Caenorhabditis elegans: one gene and its partners. The protein of the gene in region 1 interacts with the protein of each later gene in a pairwise test. Each region holds a gene or a part of one and is shown in the gene's direction. Other genes may lie near its edges. The genes, in order: zfp-3, Y61A9LA.3 and cpf-2.

The links.
Region 2: the proteins of zfp-3 (region 1) and Y61A9LA.3 interact in a two-hybrid assay, tested with the Caenorhabditis elegans proteins (one study listed by BioGRID).
Region 3: the proteins of zfp-3 (region 1) and cpf-2 interact in a two-hybrid assay, tested with the Caenorhabditis elegans proteins (2 studies listed by BioGRID).

Annotation. Positions count from the first base shown.
Region 1 is NC_003284.9:1,440,530-1,448,608, reverse strand, and holds the start of zfp-3 (C3H1-type domain-containing protein), read left to right. Parts: upstream 1-1,965; 5' UTR 1,966-2,032; coding exon 2,033-2,120; coding exon of another isoform or gene 2,121-2,149; intron 2,150-3,592; coding exon 3,593-3,685; intron 3,686-3,732; coding exon of another isoform or gene 3,733-4,202; exon of another isoform or gene 4,203-5,213; coding exon of another isoform or gene 5,214-5,220; exon of another isoform or gene 5,221-5,292; coding exon 5,293-5,456; intron 5,457-5,973; coding exon 5,974-6,115; intron 6,116-6,166; coding exon 6,167-6,371; intron 6,372-6,432; coding exon 6,433-7,066; intron 7,067-7,249; coding exon 7,250-7,423; intron 7,424-7,477; coding exon 7,478-7,978; 3' UTR 7,979-8,079.
Region 2 is NC_003283.11:4,569,261-4,574,232, forward strand, and holds the start of Y61A9LA.3 (C2H2-type domain-containing protein), read left to right. Parts: upstream 1-1,874; 5' UTR 1,875-1,882; coding exon 1,883-1,941; intron 1,942-2,468; coding exon 2,469-2,697; intron 2,698-3,037; coding exon 3,038-3,128; intron 3,129-3,872; coding exon of another isoform or gene 3,873-4,664; intron 4,665-4,972. Other genes in the region: sut-2 (Zinc finger CCCH domain-containing protein 14), read right to left, coding at 175-279, 339-655, 717-767; hpo-39 (uncharacterized protein), read right to left, coding at 3,873-4,664.
Region 3 is NC_003281.10:13,266,381-13,270,687, reverse strand, and holds cpf-2 (RRM domain-containing protein), read left to right. Parts: upstream 1-1,804; 5' UTR 1,805-1,812; coding exon 1,813-1,876; intron 1,877-1,927; coding exon 1,928-1,983; intron 1,984-2,034; coding exon 2,035-2,156; intron 2,157-2,202; coding exon 2,203-2,347; intron 2,348-3,050; coding exon 3,051-3,674; 3' UTR 3,675-3,756; downstream 3,757-4,307. Other genes in the region: F56A8.5 (F-box domain-containing protein), read right to left, coding at 3,803-3,959, 4,009-4,307.

The DNA of each region.
Region 1 (8,079 bases):
GTTTGACAGTTTTCTTCCAGACAAAAAGAAATCTGTACAAATTCCCGTTGAATGAGCTTATGGTGCATCGGTTTGTGATTTAAAAAATTAAGACGCTTTTGACAGTATCTCTTAAATTTAAATCGAAATTATATTTTTTTTTTACAAGTAGCAAACTTTTGTAGGATATCAAAATTTCACGCTAAAGTTTTAATTTTAATGCTGAACACTAGAACGTTCAGTTTAGAATTGCTCATTTACAACTGTTCACTGTCATTTTTTTAAGATTACATACAAAACTGCTACTAAAGAAGAAAAGTTTCTCTAAATAAATAATTTTATATCAAAAATTGGTTATTAAATCACTTAATTTCCAGAAAATTATTCTAGGATATTGCCAAAGAAATGATTTTTTGTGAAAAATGTTCGAAAATTCCAGGATTTTGATTCCAATTTAAGTGTTTTCAGGCGTTTCTAGAAGTTTTTCATCTTCTTTTATCCGGCAAGCAAATTGCAAAAATTTCTGTTAAACGCGGTTCAAATTTGTGGAAGCTAGCATCATGGTGCATCGACATTTTTTTAATTTCTCTTAAAGTATCATTCGAGTCCTGTATTGTCTGCCTTCATGCACTAATTGTCAATTGAGTCCCTTCAAAATAATTTTCCCTGACATCTGGTAGTTCCCTGCAACTTCCACGTTATCTTGACAATTTTCTTTTATCCGAGAGGTTCCTTCTGTAAAACGATTCTGACAAACTAGTCCACGTATTTAAGAGCAAACATCATGGTTCATCAAAGTTTGTGAATTTCAAAATAGTAAACCTAATTCATAGAATCTCTAAAATGGACTTTTTTGTGAGAAATGCTCAAAATCGAAGACTTTTGTCTGGATTCGATTATTTTCAAACGGCATTTTTAAATGATTTATTCAAAACGACAGTATTCTTCCAGTTGACTAGGATAGTGAAAAAATTTCTGTTTCACCAAAAAATTCATGTAAACTCGGTTCAAGTTTCTGTAAGCTAACATCATAGTGCATCGATTTCTGTGATTTTCAACAAATTGGCACGTTTGACAATTTTCCTCACAATTCCATTTAACTCCTGCTTTATGTCTTTACGGGTAGCCTGTCTGTCGAATACTTTCCCTTATATGTAGCTAGAAATAATTTTCAAAAACCAATTATTTTTCCTGAACTCCACTGATTTTCTGTAGTCTTATCGATTTTTTGACAATCTGCTCCCAGCCAAAAAGGAATCTGTAAAAATTTATGTTTCATTTGAAAATTCCTGAAGCAATTGCAAAAATCATGGTGCATCGACAAACTTTTATCAACTTTTTTAGTTTTTAGTATTGCATGAAAAGTCGTTAGAATCTGTTCTGGTGAAACTGTTCTGGAATGGTCTTTCGATTGAAAACTTTTCTCAAAATATAAGTTTTTGGTTGGCTGAGCTTCAAATTCAAAAAAAAAATTGCTTTGAAATTTTAAAAACTCACAAAATTCATGAACTTCCATCAATATCCAATATGCATTTAACCATTATTCTCCAAAAAACACGCTCCGCAACTTGTCGTCAGTGTGTATGCAGACATCGGTGAGGGACCCAAGTGGTCGCATTCGACAGCCCACATGATACACGCTCTCGTCGTCTCGTGCCTCTTTTCCCTCGCCACCTGCACTCTCTCGTCGACTGCGGGCGATCTCTAACCACTCTCTGGCTGCCTGCTCGGGATATTTCCTCACTATTTGACTGCCGGGGGTCTCTTGTGTCTACGATCGATAGGGAAACGCACGCTCACACAAACACTCTCCCGCACACATTGCGCGTTTCGAAAATGTATTAGGCTGATTTTGGCGAGTTTTTTCTCCTGGTTTTCTTCTAGTTTCCCTCAACTTTTTAAAATTAAAATTTTCTTTGATTTTTCCTCTTTTTTTTTTAAATTCACTAATATTCTCTTCAAATTAAACTCTTACAAAATTTCCAGAAAATCTACACAAAGCAGAAGCAGCAGAAGCCGCCAGCAGCTCAACTCCGCACCAACACCGTCTCCAATGGCCGACGTCTACACCCCGACCAAGACAATGGACGGCGCCTTCCTGCCAGCAGTGGGATCCCCGAACACCTCCATCGACTCTCCGGGTAAGTCATCGGAATTCTACTATTTTTGAATTTGAATTCTAATTTGCAAGTTCCTTATTTTCTTCTCCACTTCATCCTATTTCTTCGATCTCGAATCTTGATATCAAGCACTTTCATTTTTCTTTGTGACACAGTTCCGGGTTGGCGAAAAAGAAAAAACCGTTTTCAGAGAGACAATTGAAATAAAGAGTTCTGTTTTAACCGCACAATATGAAGGAAAATAATGTGAGGAACAGAAATGCCCCAGATGTGGTCGGATACCCAGAAAGGGATGACCGGGCTTTGGACACGAATTTTCAGGTTCTGAAGTGCCCTCGGCATCTTGGAGCACCTCTGACGTGCTGAGAGCAGTAGAATCCAGAAGTCAAGATACTTGGACTTGGACTTCAACTTTGGCTATATGGGACCAGCAGGAAAACTTCAAGCTTCTACCTAGCAGGAACCAGCTATGTTTCTTGGATTATTAGGCTTTCACTTCAAGGCTCAGAAGCTTAAGTCATTTAGGATAGGCTCTCGCTCTTCTCTTTTTCCCTCTTTGGGCCTAATTTCAAGTTGAGAACAGTGACTACGTATTTTCTATAGAGAAGATAAGATGTGTCCTGGTTCCGCGAGAAAAAGGGATAGGGAAACAATTATTACAAAGTGATAACGGCCTGATTTCGAACAACTTGCTGACTATGCTGAAGCTGTGGCCTATTTTTTTTTCTATCCTCTAGTAGAATGCTGGAAAAATTGAATCCGACTATTTTAGTACAGCTGGAATTTTTCGTTTTAAACTTTGGGGGTCTATGGTGCTTTTTGAAACTAGATTGAAACTTGCGACTACTTTTAATATTTCAGAAATGTCCTGAACAGATCTGAGGTCTTTTGGAGAATTTTGGAAGTTTTGTGATGATCGGGCAAGATTACGGCAAATTCATTCAAAGTTCACAAAGACATAAGAATGCATGGAAAATATCTGGCAAGTTGTGCCAAGTTCTGAAGGGTTGTACAGTTTTCGAAAACATTTCTAGAAGTTTGGAAAAGTCTAGAAAAATTATGGGATTTGAAGAAAATGTGGAAGGCTTTTGAATACTTTCTGTTAACTTTCTGCAGATTTCTGGCATTTTTAGGGAAGTTCTATATCTTCAGTAAGAGCTGCAGACTTTTGCTCACTCACTGGAGCTTTTTTGGCAAGTACGGGTAAGTTCTGGAAGTTGACCGAGTTTTTGAGTAGACCGGAATCAATCTGGCAAATTTTGTTCCATGTATCTGATAGCTTTTGAATTTTTTGAACAATTGTTATACTTCTGGACATATTTCTTACGTTCCGACATTTTTCTCGGTGGATATTTTTTCAAGAAACTGCTAGATTCCAGATATTCTAGATAAAAAATACTCTAAAAATACAAGAAAATTTGAATCTTCCTTGAATATATTCTAATAATTTCCAATAGGCAGTTCAAATTCAATTTTAAATTTCAAATTTTCAGCAGTCTACGTACCGACACCACTCACCGCGCCATCCACATCGAAGACGACTCCAGTGAAGCCCGAGGATCAGACAACGCGGCAGAAATATGGAGGTAGGTGGAAAACTCTTTAGAATTTGTATCCTAACATCACATTTCAGGTACATGGAAGCTCCGACACTTGGGAATGAGATGGAGATGTGCTCTTCCCACCCGCCGATTCCCACTTTCCCAGCCCCTATTTCTATGTAGCGTAGATACGACTATTCACATTTTAATGAATTATAGAACTCTCCAGAACTTTAGCAAAATTTTGAAAGGTCTTGGAAAAATGGGAAAATGTAATTTTAAAAGCGGACAAAAACCGAGATTTATTATTAAAAAAAGACTATGGATACCCGGGAACTATGGTCACTCTTATGGAAGCCTCTTCTCAATTGTGAATCCCCATCACTTTTCAGACTCCCCAATAAGTTGTTCTCCATGTTTTTTCTATGTTTCTGATTTCTTCTTTTTTTCTATTTTTTTGTGCGTCCGGAGTTTTTTTGCAGATGCTCTCAGCTTCATATGGAATATTCTACAGTGGTTTCGTTTGCAGAGCCGAGCAAAATGGCGGAGAAGATATATATGAAAGATATATGAAATTCCAGAAAAATCATCAGAAGTGCACGGGCTGAAATTTTGGAAAAATTGCCGCCCGTGGACGTTTTTGAATGCGGAAATCGATAAATTGAACATTTTTGATTGGGAATTTGAAAGAAAAGTTTGAGTAGATCATTTTTGAAGGATGTCTAGAATTTTGAAAATGTCTAGAATGCTCAGCGATTGAGAAAATGTAAAAAATTAATATTTATGGTCTGAATTTTTGTAATAGTCGGATAGGTTAGGCGTTATGAATTCTGAAGAACACTTACTTATTTTTCGCAAAGAAATGTGACTTTTCCAAATTTGTAGTGGCTTAAAACGTTGTAATCTTGAAATTTTGATCTCCCAAAAATCTGATTTCTGTACTTACTACTAGTAGAAATGTTTTAGAGAAAATTGCTTGCAAATTGAAATGTTTCGAGGTTTCCGATGAAGAGCCGTTTCAGTTGTCAATTTTTGTATTAAATTTTACGACGATTCTTTTGTTTTTACTCAAAACATTTTTTAAAAATCGATAAATTGCAAAACTCGGTGAGATAATTTTCCTATTGGTATCCCCTTGTAGGCCAAAACTTAAATTCACAATAATGAACAAGTACGCTCTATTTTTGGAATAAACCGTGGAATATGCCTTGTGAGTTATTGCGCACAAATTGGAATTTTTTGGAAAAAAAACGATGCTACTTTAAAAAATTGATAAGGAAATCAATAAAAAGATTGCCGCGAAAAAGTTTGGACTATAAAAATTTTTGGATAAAAATTCAAAACACGGAATAAAAGACGCTCATAAACTCGAAAAAATGACAATTTTATACCTCGACGGATGTTTCAACACGTGGAATTTCTAGGTGACGTAATCTAGCGCTATTGATTTTTTTCTTGCAATTTGAATGGGAACCCCTTAAAACGCCTCAAAACTTTTACAAAATTGTTCCCATTTCCCCGTCTCCCCTGCCCCGTACCCATACCGTTTCAGAAAGAGCACATTTCAGTCTTGATGCCAAGTTTGTTTGAATACTTTAATTTTTTTTTTCAAAATTCCAGAAAATCTCAATAATACCAATCAATATTTTCAGGCTCAGTCTCCTACTCGCCATCCAACCCAGGAATCCGGATTGTGAAGCGAAAACCGAAGCCGGAAGCAGTTGCCGCAGCAGCAGCGGTGCCGACGGCGATTTATTCAGGAAAACGACACGCCACAGATGATGGAGAGGATGCGGGACTTGCCGCACTGAAATTGGTAGGTTAAAAAAGGAATTTGACAACTAAAATTGCTTTGTGGCGGTAGAGCGCATCTGCATTTTTTCAATGAGACTGTGCTAGACTGTTGGAAACGCCGACTGCTAGGAAAATTGAAATTTTATCTTTTAAAATTGAGCAGAGTTGTGTGCCTTGGTACTGGACAGTTCGGGCAAAAATTCTACAAATGAATTTCGAGCTCAAAATTTATGGTTTATTGGAGCAAGCGTGCTCTGATCCCGCTCTTTGAGAAATCGTTCAACGGGAATTTGACAACCAAACTTGCTCAGTTTCGGTAGAGCGCATTTGCTTCAATGAGGCGGTGTTAGAATTTTGGAAAATTTACCTTTTAAAATTGAGTGTAATTGCGCGCCAATTCGTCCATGGTACTGGACAGTTCGGAAAAAAAATTCTACAAATGAATTTCGAGCCCAAAATTATGGCTTTTTAGAACAAGCAAGCTCTGATCCAGCTACTTTCTTGAAAACAAGCAAAAACTATTACTAATCGCCCTCAAGTATTTTCAGAAGCCAAACCGTGGAATTCTCCGTGGTCCAGCTATCTCCAACCTCAATCAGCGTGGCACCCGTCGCCTCATCTTCGCCGACACGCGAGGTCTTCCACTGGTGCATGTTAAGGAAATTGAACGTATTGCAGCAAGTACGCCGCCACTAGAGCCTACCACTAAAACTAATGCGCCTCTTCTTTCAGTCCACTCGAATGTTGCCGACTATCGGTGTTCGGAGCGAAATGAGGCCGCCGCGTTTGGCCAGGAGATGGAAGTTTTTGAGGATGTCGAGTGGTCGCTGGTGCCGGTGAAGCGGTCCAAACCGGCGCGCAGTGAAATGTCAGAGTCGGGCCTACGGGAAGAAAGACGTATCGAAGAGGAAGGAATTATGAGAGGGGCCATGTTTGGGTAAGTTTTTAGGCATATATTGACCTGTAATAAAAATTTTTTAAATTTTTTGCGTTTCCAGAATGTGCCAACTCGAGGACAACCCAGCGCTTAACGAGCAGGCAGCTGTCGACCGTGCCAACTACACGCCGACCATCATCCCAACCGTCAGTGTTCCATCGGAGCCCACCACTCTCGCCACTATCCGCGATTTGCCACTTCCGGGCCGTCCGCCACGTGTTCGTCCACAAGATTTGCTGCTTCAGGTCAAGCCGAACCAGGGATTCCACACGTTGCCACTCTACCATAGCCAACGCCCGGAGAACCCTCGACGTCCGATGTACGCACAGCAGCAGCAGCAGCAATCAGCCCACCAGACGCCGACTCCACACATCCAGCAAGTGTTCCAGGAAACGGAACCGGTCACCAACTACTACACGGCCACCACCTCTGTCCCGGAGACCCCGGAGCCAGCTCCAGCAGCCCAGCCTGCCAGCAGATTCGAGCTTCCATCGAACCTCAAGGAGATGCTCAACCAGCTCAAGAAGAAGGGGTTCGTCTCGTCGGATGAGACTCCTTCGCCGACGACTTCAGCTCCACCGCCGGTTGATCCACTGGCGGCTGCAATGCAGACTGCTCAGCAGATGATGCTCCAGCAGGGGAACACGTATGCAAGTGAAGAAGTGCCGCAAGATTATCCAATGGATGGATATGTCGTGAGTTTTTTTCGCTTTTAAAAACGGGCTGGAATTGCTTGAAATGGTCCGACCCGCTTTAAAAATGTGTGGGCCCATGGAAGCTTACTTCAAAAACGGGACAGGCCCGGTATCGGCCCACTTTTACACGACGCTGGTCCAAGTCCTCCTTATTTATACATTAGCAACAGTCTAAAATTTCAGGCAACATTTGCAACTCCAGAGATGATGGCTCAGGAGCGTCGCCAGGACTCTCGCAACTCGGAAGGATGGACTCAATCCGGCTGGAAGATTCCAGAGCCATGTGTCTACTTTATCAGCCGCCCGGGTGGATGTAATCGGGGAGATCAGTGCAGATTTATTCATGACGAGGAGATGGTAAGTGGCAGTTTGAAGCTATTTTTTTTCCATTCTTACTTATTTCTTTTTCAGAGACGTCAAAAGATGGCAGAGCTCCCACCACGCGGTCCAAATCATCACCACGACAACTTCCGAGGTGGCCGAGGCCGCGGATTCCGTGGAGGCTACAACAATCGCAACAACTACAACAACCACCACGACCGCGACTTTAGAGACAATGCAGGCGGAAACCGTGGCCGATTTGGCGACACTGAAGGATTCCGTGGAGCACGATATGCTCGTGGAGGCTTTGCTCCTCGGAACAACTCGAGATTCGACCAGAAGCCAGCGTACAATGATGATGGCGGTCATCTAGGATCCCCAAATGCACATGGATCCCAGTATCAGGATCCCGTTCCGACTAAGAGAGCCCGTGTCAGTAGGTTTGATAGACAGGGAGAAGATGATGCTCCAGGCCAGGATATGGATCAACGGCCACCGAGGAGAAATCGATTTGACGAGCAGCCACCTCGCCGGACGTTCCGCTCTCGCTTTGATCAGCAAGCGGATCACGATGAGATGAGCCAAGCTTAGTGGCGGAAGAAAAAAAAATTAAATTAAATTGCATTTTCCACATTTCTAGTCACATTTCTGACCCCCCCCCCCATTAGTTCTTTTTCCAACCCGTAATATAT
Region 2 (4,972 bases), on another chromosome or scaffold:
TTGAGGAGAGCGTGATTGAGCTCATTTTGAGTCCGAACCGTTAGTCCTCCTTTAAAGAGAGAGAGAGTACTGTAGTTTTCGCTACGAGATATTTTGCGCGTCAAATATGCTGCGCAATACGCATTCTCAGAATTTTGTGATCCCGAAATATTCTGTGTTCTATCAGAAAACTACCTCTGAATCTCTTTTCTCTTCTCCTCACGACGCTTCTCCTCTTCGGCCCGCTTTTCACGATCACGTTCTCGTTGACGCTCCTTCTCACGTTCTTTTTCTTTTTGCCTGGAATTTTTGAAATTTTCAATTTTTAATTATTTCTTATTCCTTCGCTCGGCACTTACAGTTCTTTCTCATGCTCTTCCTTCTCTTTTCTTCGTTTCTCTTCATGCTCCTTTGCTGCTGCTGTTGCTTCCAGCTCTTTTCTCTTATCCTCCTCCTTTTTACTAGTCTCTCCTTGCTTGTTCGAAGCGTTTTGTAGGCGATCGAACAGATCAAAAAGCCAGTCGACGAATTTCGCAGTGCTTTTTCCGATAAATAAGTTGAGATCGTCCTTCATCTGCACTTTTTCCTTCTTATTCGCAATCATTACCATAATATAATCGGGTAATTCATCGTCCACGTAGACGCCGAGCTCTTCAAGTTTGGCTCGAATCGCGGCCTGAATTAAAAAATTATTAATTTTTGCGATTTTTGAAATTTATTAACTTATTTAACGTTACCTTTAGTTTTTTCGACACTTCTGAGGTTCCTGTCCCTGTTTGAGTATTCATTTCGAACAGATTATATCTGAAAACCAAAAAAAAATCAATAAGCTAAATATCACAATTTTTGTTCCAATTTTTAAGATAATAATGTCATAGTAAGCTTTAAAAACTGATTTCAAAGTTATATTGGCTCAAGAAACTTCCGGAAGTTCACTAAAAATCACTAAAACCACAAATAATCTGGTTTTTCGAAAATATTCAAATAACGGGATAAAAACCGACACTTTGAATAAATCAGCGGCAATTTTTGTGTGAAAATTGACAGAAAATCAATAATTTAAAATAATTCAATAAATTAATTAGAAAAATTCAGGGAAAACGAATCGGAATTATACGAAAATCACGTGTATCCCTTTCTCTCTCACAATGCCAGCAGCGACAATTATTTGTCGTAAGATTCGGTGTAAAGTATGCACACACTGTGACGACAAAATGCAGATTTTTGCATAAAAGGTTTTTGTGTTTTTTAATCGATTTGCAGAGGATTTCTCAGGTTTTCTGTGTTAAAATTGAAGATTTTAAGGGTTTTTTGTCGAAAAATGCCTATTTTGTTCAATTAATCATTATAAATAACTAGAAATTAAGAAAATCGCTGGAATTTATGATTTTTCTTTATTTTTACGGACGCTTCATTTTTTTTTAAGTTTTAATCGATTTTCAGAGGATTTCAGGGTTTTTTGCCGGAAAAATGTGTATTTGGTTTATTTAATCACCAAAAATAACTGAAAATAGATTGAAATTTATGATTTCTTGTTTTTATCGATTTTCAGAGAGTTTCTTAGGTTTTCGAGCTTAAAATTTCAGATTTTCGGATTTTTTTTGCCGAAAAAATGCATATTTTGTTCATTTAATCACCAAAAACAACTAGAAATTGAGAGAATTTAATGAAATTTAATATTTAGATTTTTTTTCATTTTCAATCGATTTTTGAAGCACTTTCACAGTTTTACCAGCAATTTCCATCCTTGAAATAATTTTTTTCCAAATATTTCTAGACTGATTTCGTGGAAAACTATCGATTTTCTGTGGCTGCGTGCATTTCTGTCTGCGTCTCCCCTCGTTTTTCCTCCTCAAATCCGTTCTTGTCCACGAATTTCCGGTTTTTTTTTCCAGCTAGAGACATGCGACATTCGTCGTACGAACATGTTCCAAATCGGATAATTCCTCCGCATATTCCAATGTGAGCCGTTTTTTTTTCAAATTTTTTCCAACTTCTCGGTGTCGCAGCGGTTAGAACTTAATTATTATTTTTTTTATCACTTTTAAATAAATATTGTGGTCTTTGATTGGGCGTTTATTCATTGATTAGTACATTTATGGTCAGTGGGGCACAAATAAAAGTTAAATTTTGTGCCCCACTGACCATAAATGTACTTAAATCAACGAATAAACGCCTAATCAAAGACCACAATATTTATTAAAAAGTGATAAAAAAATAATAATTAAGTTCTAACCGCTGCAACACCGAGAAGTTGGAAAAAATTTGAGATTTTAGCTAAAAATTGGCCATTTTTTCCAAAATTTTCGAGCGGTCATAACTTTTTTTTTGAAATATTTTCAGAACGTCTCATTACGAAATTCGGTAGTTTTGGACCATTTTGGGTCTAAAAAGCAAAGTCTCAAATTTCGGTACCTCACCTCTGAGGATGAAAAAATCCGGATTTTCCGGGAAAAAAAAATAAAACTCATTTTTTTATATTTTTTCAGTGATGCTAGACGTGGCGATTTCGATAGACGTCCTGGCCCGCCGGTTCCTTCTATGAGAGCTGCAATTCTTGGAGGAAGTGATCCGTATCACGGATTTCAGCCGGTGGTGGACACCTATAATGGACCCGTAGTGGATAATTCGAGAAGACGTGGTTTCGATAAGGGGCCGTTTGGAGAGGATTTGACGACGATGGGAAGAAATGAAGGGAGACAGCCGTTGCTCAGACATGTAAGGAGCGCGATTTTGAGTCGAAAAGTTCAAAAAATCCAACTTAAAAACTCAATTTTCGCTGAAATTCCCTCCAAAACTCCCCGACCAATCAGCGATTCGCTCCGCCCATCTTTGAACCAATCAGATGGAGTGGGCGGAGTTCGAAGTCGGGGAATCCTCATTTTGAGAATTGACTTCAAAACGAGAATTCCCCGACCAATCAACGACTTCGAACTCCGCCCACTCAATCTGATTGGTTGAAGGATGGGCGGAGCGAATCGCTGATTGGTTGCGATGTGGTTTTTCTGGTTTTTAGACTTTTTTTTCGGATTTTGATGAAAATTCACGAATTAAATAGTTTCAGCCGAGACTAGACTTTGAGCACATTGGCGGAGAAATGGAAATCGCGAGAAGTCGGTCTGCATCTCCAGAAATTCAAGTTATCAGTGGTACGTTTTTAGACTGGACCCAAAATGGCCCGAAACTGCCGAAAATTTCTCAAAAAAGTGATGGCGATTCAAAAATTCGGAAAAGTAATAATAATTGTTTATTTGCCACAAGAAATAGCTACACCGGAAGACAAAGAAAAAAAGTAAAATAAAAAAGATGTGTGGACAGATAAATAAAATGACCAATTGGACCAGCTATAGCCCGGGAGGTCAAGTTGGGGGGAAGAGGGTGTCAAATGGGATAGAGCCTAGGCGCGACGCAAATGCATTTGGAGTTAACAGTTTAGGGAAACGTTTTGCTATTCGGTTCCACAACGACAAGTTAACATGTAGAAAACATTTAGACGGGACGCCACAGACAACAAGTAGATAGGGGTGACGAGTAGAGCGTGAAGCTCGAACGAACGATGATAAGGACGGGAAGTGATACTCGCTTGAAATAATTTTATGGAAGGTTCGGAGGATTTGAAGAACCCGTCTATGGTGGGTAGACAATAAATTAAATTGGGAAAGCCTGCTACTGTATGACGCGTACGATAAATTACACCTTTGAAAGACACACTTTGAGAAGCAATGGACGGACAAGACGATAATAAAGCCCGGTGGCCGTTTACCTATGCGTTAGCAACGGGAGCAGCCGAATCAACAGAGATAGGAAGTGGACGCGGTGACGAGAGAGTCACAATCTTAAGGTCGCGCACATAATAACGAATCTCGCCAGCTTGGGTATTTCTGTTATAAGCGTCAGCTCTCAACTCTCTCAGGATAGATAACATCGTTGGTCATATCGCGTCTGCAGCGGATGGGTCTTGGAAGGTTAGTGGGGCGATCAGGCAACGAACGGAGAGTTTTGGAGAAAGAGAAAATGAACGAATTGCGGTCGGCTTCAGAAGAGAAACGAATTTTTGTTGGGCGGGATAAGACTGGTTTGCGAGTTTTGACGCGGAAAGTTTGAATATGTACAGGGAGGGAGGGATTAGCGGCAATTAAATTATCGAGAAAAACCTTATCCTTGGCGGATTGTGAATCCGAGCCATCATCCGGTAGATTTTCAATCACGGCGAAATGAGTCTTCTTCTCAAACAGGGAAATGCTGGCTGCTGCTTCACGTCTTTCTGCAATGATCTCTGCTTTCTTCTCGGCTGATTGTCCCTTGAGAACATCGGCGAACAGGCGTGGAGCGGGCAAATTGGAGGTAACACGGGCAGAGCATTCGTTCGTGAGCTTGGCAACAACTACCTTGAGCTGCTCGACGGTTTGGAAGAGTTCCGATTGTTTGCTCTCCAGGGCACGACATCTGCTTTCAGCGGCGGTACGGAAGGTTCTCAAGCTCGAATTTTCCTTTTCCAATTCTTCAACACGGGTAGTGAGCAATTCAAGAGCGGTCGGGCGACCGCGCTTCCGGGTTTGCTGTTGTTTCTCCGGCGGAGAACTCGTACCGTGAGCGTCCTCCGGGAGATAAGGACCAGAGAAAGCGAAGAAATCCGTCTTCACCATAGGCACTGGGGCGGAATGAGGAGGAGGTGGTTCCGACATGACCAATGACCTGCAGCAGTTGACCGGCGTACCTCAAACTCAAACTTGGGTAATTAAACCAAATATTTTTTGCAGATGCTAAAACAATTTCCAAGTCAAAAAATTATGTATTCAGTCGGCAAGCAGCGGTGAAAGTGGTCAATGTAAAATGATGGATTACGGGAATACAAAACCTAAACTTTTTCTGAAACATTATACATATGCTGTTTAGATGCTGAAACTACCTGATTTTCATAACGAGACCGCTGAAAAAGTTTTGAGGTTTCCACAATTCAACTTTTTTGGTGAAAAAGTCGAGATTTTCGCAC
Region 3 (4,307 bases), on another chromosome or scaffold:
GTTCCGGCCTTCCTCGTTGAATTTTTCGCGCTCCATTGACAATCGCCTGCCGGACAACGCGTGGGAAAGTTGGGTACTCAACTCGGACAGTTACATTTAGTTTTACAACCAAAACCGAGCCGCGGCGCGACACGCAACGCACCGTAAATCTACCCCAGATATGGCCGAGCCAAAATGGCCTAGTTTGGCAAACTCTTCCATTTCAATTTATGAGGAAAGCCAGAAATCCGTGTGTCTTTTTAAAGGCGCACGGATTTTTTTAGATGGGTCTCGGAGCACAAACAAAAATTTATGGTAGTATTTTTTTTAATTTGAAAACTGAGTTAAAACTATTTTAATAGAATTTTTAAAAGAAAAATAAACAAGGACGGAGCCGCAAAAATTCAAAAAAACGAGAAACTTTTAACTATAAACTTTTCTACGCGCGCCGAGACCCATCTGAATAAGTCCGTGCACCTTTAAGAAGGCCTATCAAATTCTAGTGAAACTACTATATTACGGGAACACAAAATTCTGAGAATGCGTATTGCACAACATATTTGACGCGCAAAATATAACTATATCTCGTGAGCGAATTCTTTAAATGATTACTGTGGCGCTGGTGTCGATTTACGGGCTCGATCGATAGTTCGTAATATTTTGTCATTGTTATGTTTTCTTCTAATATTTTATCGATTAATAAGTGATTTCCGTAAATCGACACAAGGACTACAGTAGTCATTTAAAAATTACTGTAGTTTTCGCTTCGAGATATTTTGCGCGTCAAATATGGTGCGCAATACGCATTTTCAGAATTTTCCTTGCATTTTTGGAAGATTTGTTACGGTCTCCAAAACTCGAAGCTGGAAATTTCTTTAAAATTACTGCTTTGCGCCCAATAAGTTTAGTTTGGCAGTGGAGCGCTATTGAATTTCCATTTCGAAAAGAGCACTATTTTCAGTGTGTCGTCAAATCGAAGATCTCGAAGCGATTTATTGAAAATTCAACGGCTGGTCTAAAAAAGGGTTGGAAAACATGTGGAAGAATTATTTGATAAATTTTTTTAAATAGAAAATGTTTCGTTTCAATTAGTTCCAAATACTCCCAAAATAGAAAACTACCAAACATCAGGCATCAGGTATAACTAGTTTATGCGGTGTTTCGAAGTGGAAAAACTAGGCAAAAAATATTTTCAAACTAAAAAAATTATTTGAATTTTGTCATTTCAACTAAATAAAACAAAATAAAATATATACTCTGCATCTCTCGGGAACACTAACACCCCACGTCAACGCTGTTCCCATCAATCAAAATGCGCGAAATTGGCTCATAAATCAAACGGCGAAAAACTAAAAAAAAAAAAAACTGAAAATATTGGCGGAAATGTGAAAAATATAGTCGGAGAGACAAGCTGTTATTCATGAGAAGACATTTTTTTTCGAATTTTAAAGTTTTTCGTAAGAAAAATGAGTAGTACCCGATTTTTAAGAATGTGTAATAATAAAAATTATGCAGAAGATATCATTTTTTGACGAAATACGAAATCTTTGTCAATCAATATGTGTGTCAAACAAGAATCAATGTCAATTTCCGTCTTTTTCCGCGGAAATCGGTCATTTTCGGAGGGTCACTTTGCTTGTGCTGTGACGTCACAAAAAATGTGGGTGGAGCTAGAGGCAACGAATATGCAATGCGGGCGCGCAGTTTTCGCAAGTGTGCGGCACGCGATTTATTTTCGAATAGTTTTTTCTCTGTGCAGTTTCCAACTCCTTAAATGCTTTTATCGATTTATCGACGATTTAATTTATTCATTTTCAATTTCCAGGTTGAAAAATGATGTCCGGGGGATACAAATCATCCGGAGTGGGCAATGATCGATCTCAACGTTCAGTTTTCGGTAGGAAACTGTGAATTTTCGAAAAAAAAACGTAATTTTCGCATTTTTCAGTTGGAAACATTAGCTACGATGTATCCGAAGACACGATTCGCTCCATTTTTTCAAAGGTAATTATTATTTTATTCTTTCCAATTAAAATACTGAAAAAAAGTTTTCAGGCAGGAAATGTGTTGTCGATCAAAATGGTTCACGATCGGGAGACCGGAAAGCCAAAGGGATACGGATTTATTGAATTTCCAGACATTCAAACCGCCGAAGTTGCAATTCGAAACCTTAATGGGTATTAAATATTTGAAAAATAAATTATTTATTCAATAAATGTTCAGTTACGAGCTGAGTGGACGTATTTTGCGAGTCGACAGTGCTGCTGGTGGAATGAATATGGAAGAATTCGGCTCATCGAGTAATGCTCCAGCTCCTGTCGAAGAGAATCCGTATGGTCCAGAGTGTGATGCTGGAAAAGCACCGGAGGTAGCTAAAAATGAGCGAAATTGGCCTGAAATGTCTAAAAAATAACTGAAATTGGCCTGAAATGTCCAAAAATGACTGAAATTGGCCTGAAATGTCTAAAAATGACGAAAATTGGCCAGAAATGTTCAGGAATGACTGAAATTGGCCTGAAAATGACAGAAATTTCCCTGAAATATCCAAAAATGGCCAAAATTCGCCTGAAATGTCCAAAAATGACCGGAATTGGCCTGAAATGTCCAAAATTGACCGAAATTGGCCTGAAATGTTCAACAATGACTGAAATCGGCTCGAAAATGACTGCAATTGGCCTGAAAATGCCCAAAAATGCCCAAAAATGAATGAAAATGACCGAAATTCGCCAGAAATTTCCAAAATGACCTACACTGGTCATTTTTTGTAATTTTCGTACTTTTTTAAAACAATTTTTGGTTCTCTTCGACCAAATTTTAATCATTTTTATTATTTTTTGGCAAACTTCGCTCTTGTTTAGTCATTTTTAAGCTTATTTAGTCATTCTGAACGTATAGTCTCAAAATGAGCTCAATTGTAAGAATTTCGTAATGAATTGTCTCAAATTAAGCTTAAAAATGATGAAAAATAGTCGTATTTGCACAAAAATGAATAGAAAATGCTCAAAAATGACGAAATAGGGCCTAAATATGCATTATCGAGCTCATTTTCTTTCTCAAATCACAAATTTTAGAGAATCTCCCAAACAGTCGCCTCCCTGGCTCCGGAGAAAATGTTCGAACTAATGAAGCAACTGCAAGAATCGCTGAAGAACAATCCATCGGAACTACACAAATTCCTGGTCGAGCATCCACAAATCGCCTACGCGGTGCTCCAAGCCGCCGTTGTCATGCGAATCGTTGATCCACAGACTGCACTTGGACTCCTTCATCGTAATAAGGCCGCCACGCTGACACCATTCCATAATACACCTCAAGGAGCACCGCCAATGGTTCAGCAACAACAGATGCCGATGCCACCGAAGCCAACATTTGCTCATCCTGGCCCATCTATGGGTCCTCCGATGGGACCACCTATGGGTCCACCTATGGGACATCCGCAAGCTCCTCAATACGGTCAAAATTACGGGCAACCAGTGGCTCCACAGCAGTACAAGCCACCGCCACAGCAGCAGCCACCAGTTCAGATGAGACCTCCAGTTCAGCAGCCACAACAAAATCATCAAGAAGAGCAGCAAAATGCGGAGCTTCTGATGCAAGTCATGCAGCTCAGCGAGCACGATCTTCAGATGCTTCCTGCTGGGGATCGTGAGAAGATAATAGAGCTGAGACAGCAGTTGAAGAGAAATGTCAAGTAAATATGGATCTCGTCTCTCGAGTATTTGTGCTTTTAATTCTAATTTTTCCGTTTTGTAACTATCGATTTCATGAAGATCACATTTTTAAATTCAACATTTGGTTTATTGCAACAAAATTAAATGAAAATTCAATCTTCTTCCATCGGCTCTTGGTCGGAGAATCTTTTATGCCAAACCACCATCTCAACCTCGTTATCGTTAATGATCACAGAAGCGAGAAGACCATCGGCTCGTTCAAAATCCATCGCTTTCTCGCAGTTTAATGATTGGAATGGTTCTTCTTTTCTGAAACAGAATTTAATTTGCAACTTTCAGGAAACTTTTGAAAACTTACGGGAAAATTTTCTGCCGTTGTTCGTGGTTCCATGGTTTCACATCGAGACCTTCCAGAATTTGCCCTGGAACTCTTCCATCAATCTCTTTCGAATGAACAATCAAATTTTCCAATTTCGCATTTGATCCTCGGGTCCAATCTCTGAGAATAGTATTCACGTCTTGAACAGTGAAGTTTAAGCAATAAAGAGAAACACGATTTGCCTCCAATGCTCGAAAATGCTCCGCTCTGAACCATGAACAGCCACTGAGTTCAAGGTGTTCCAGATCTTTGAAGTTTTCCAAATTTCCATTCATCGT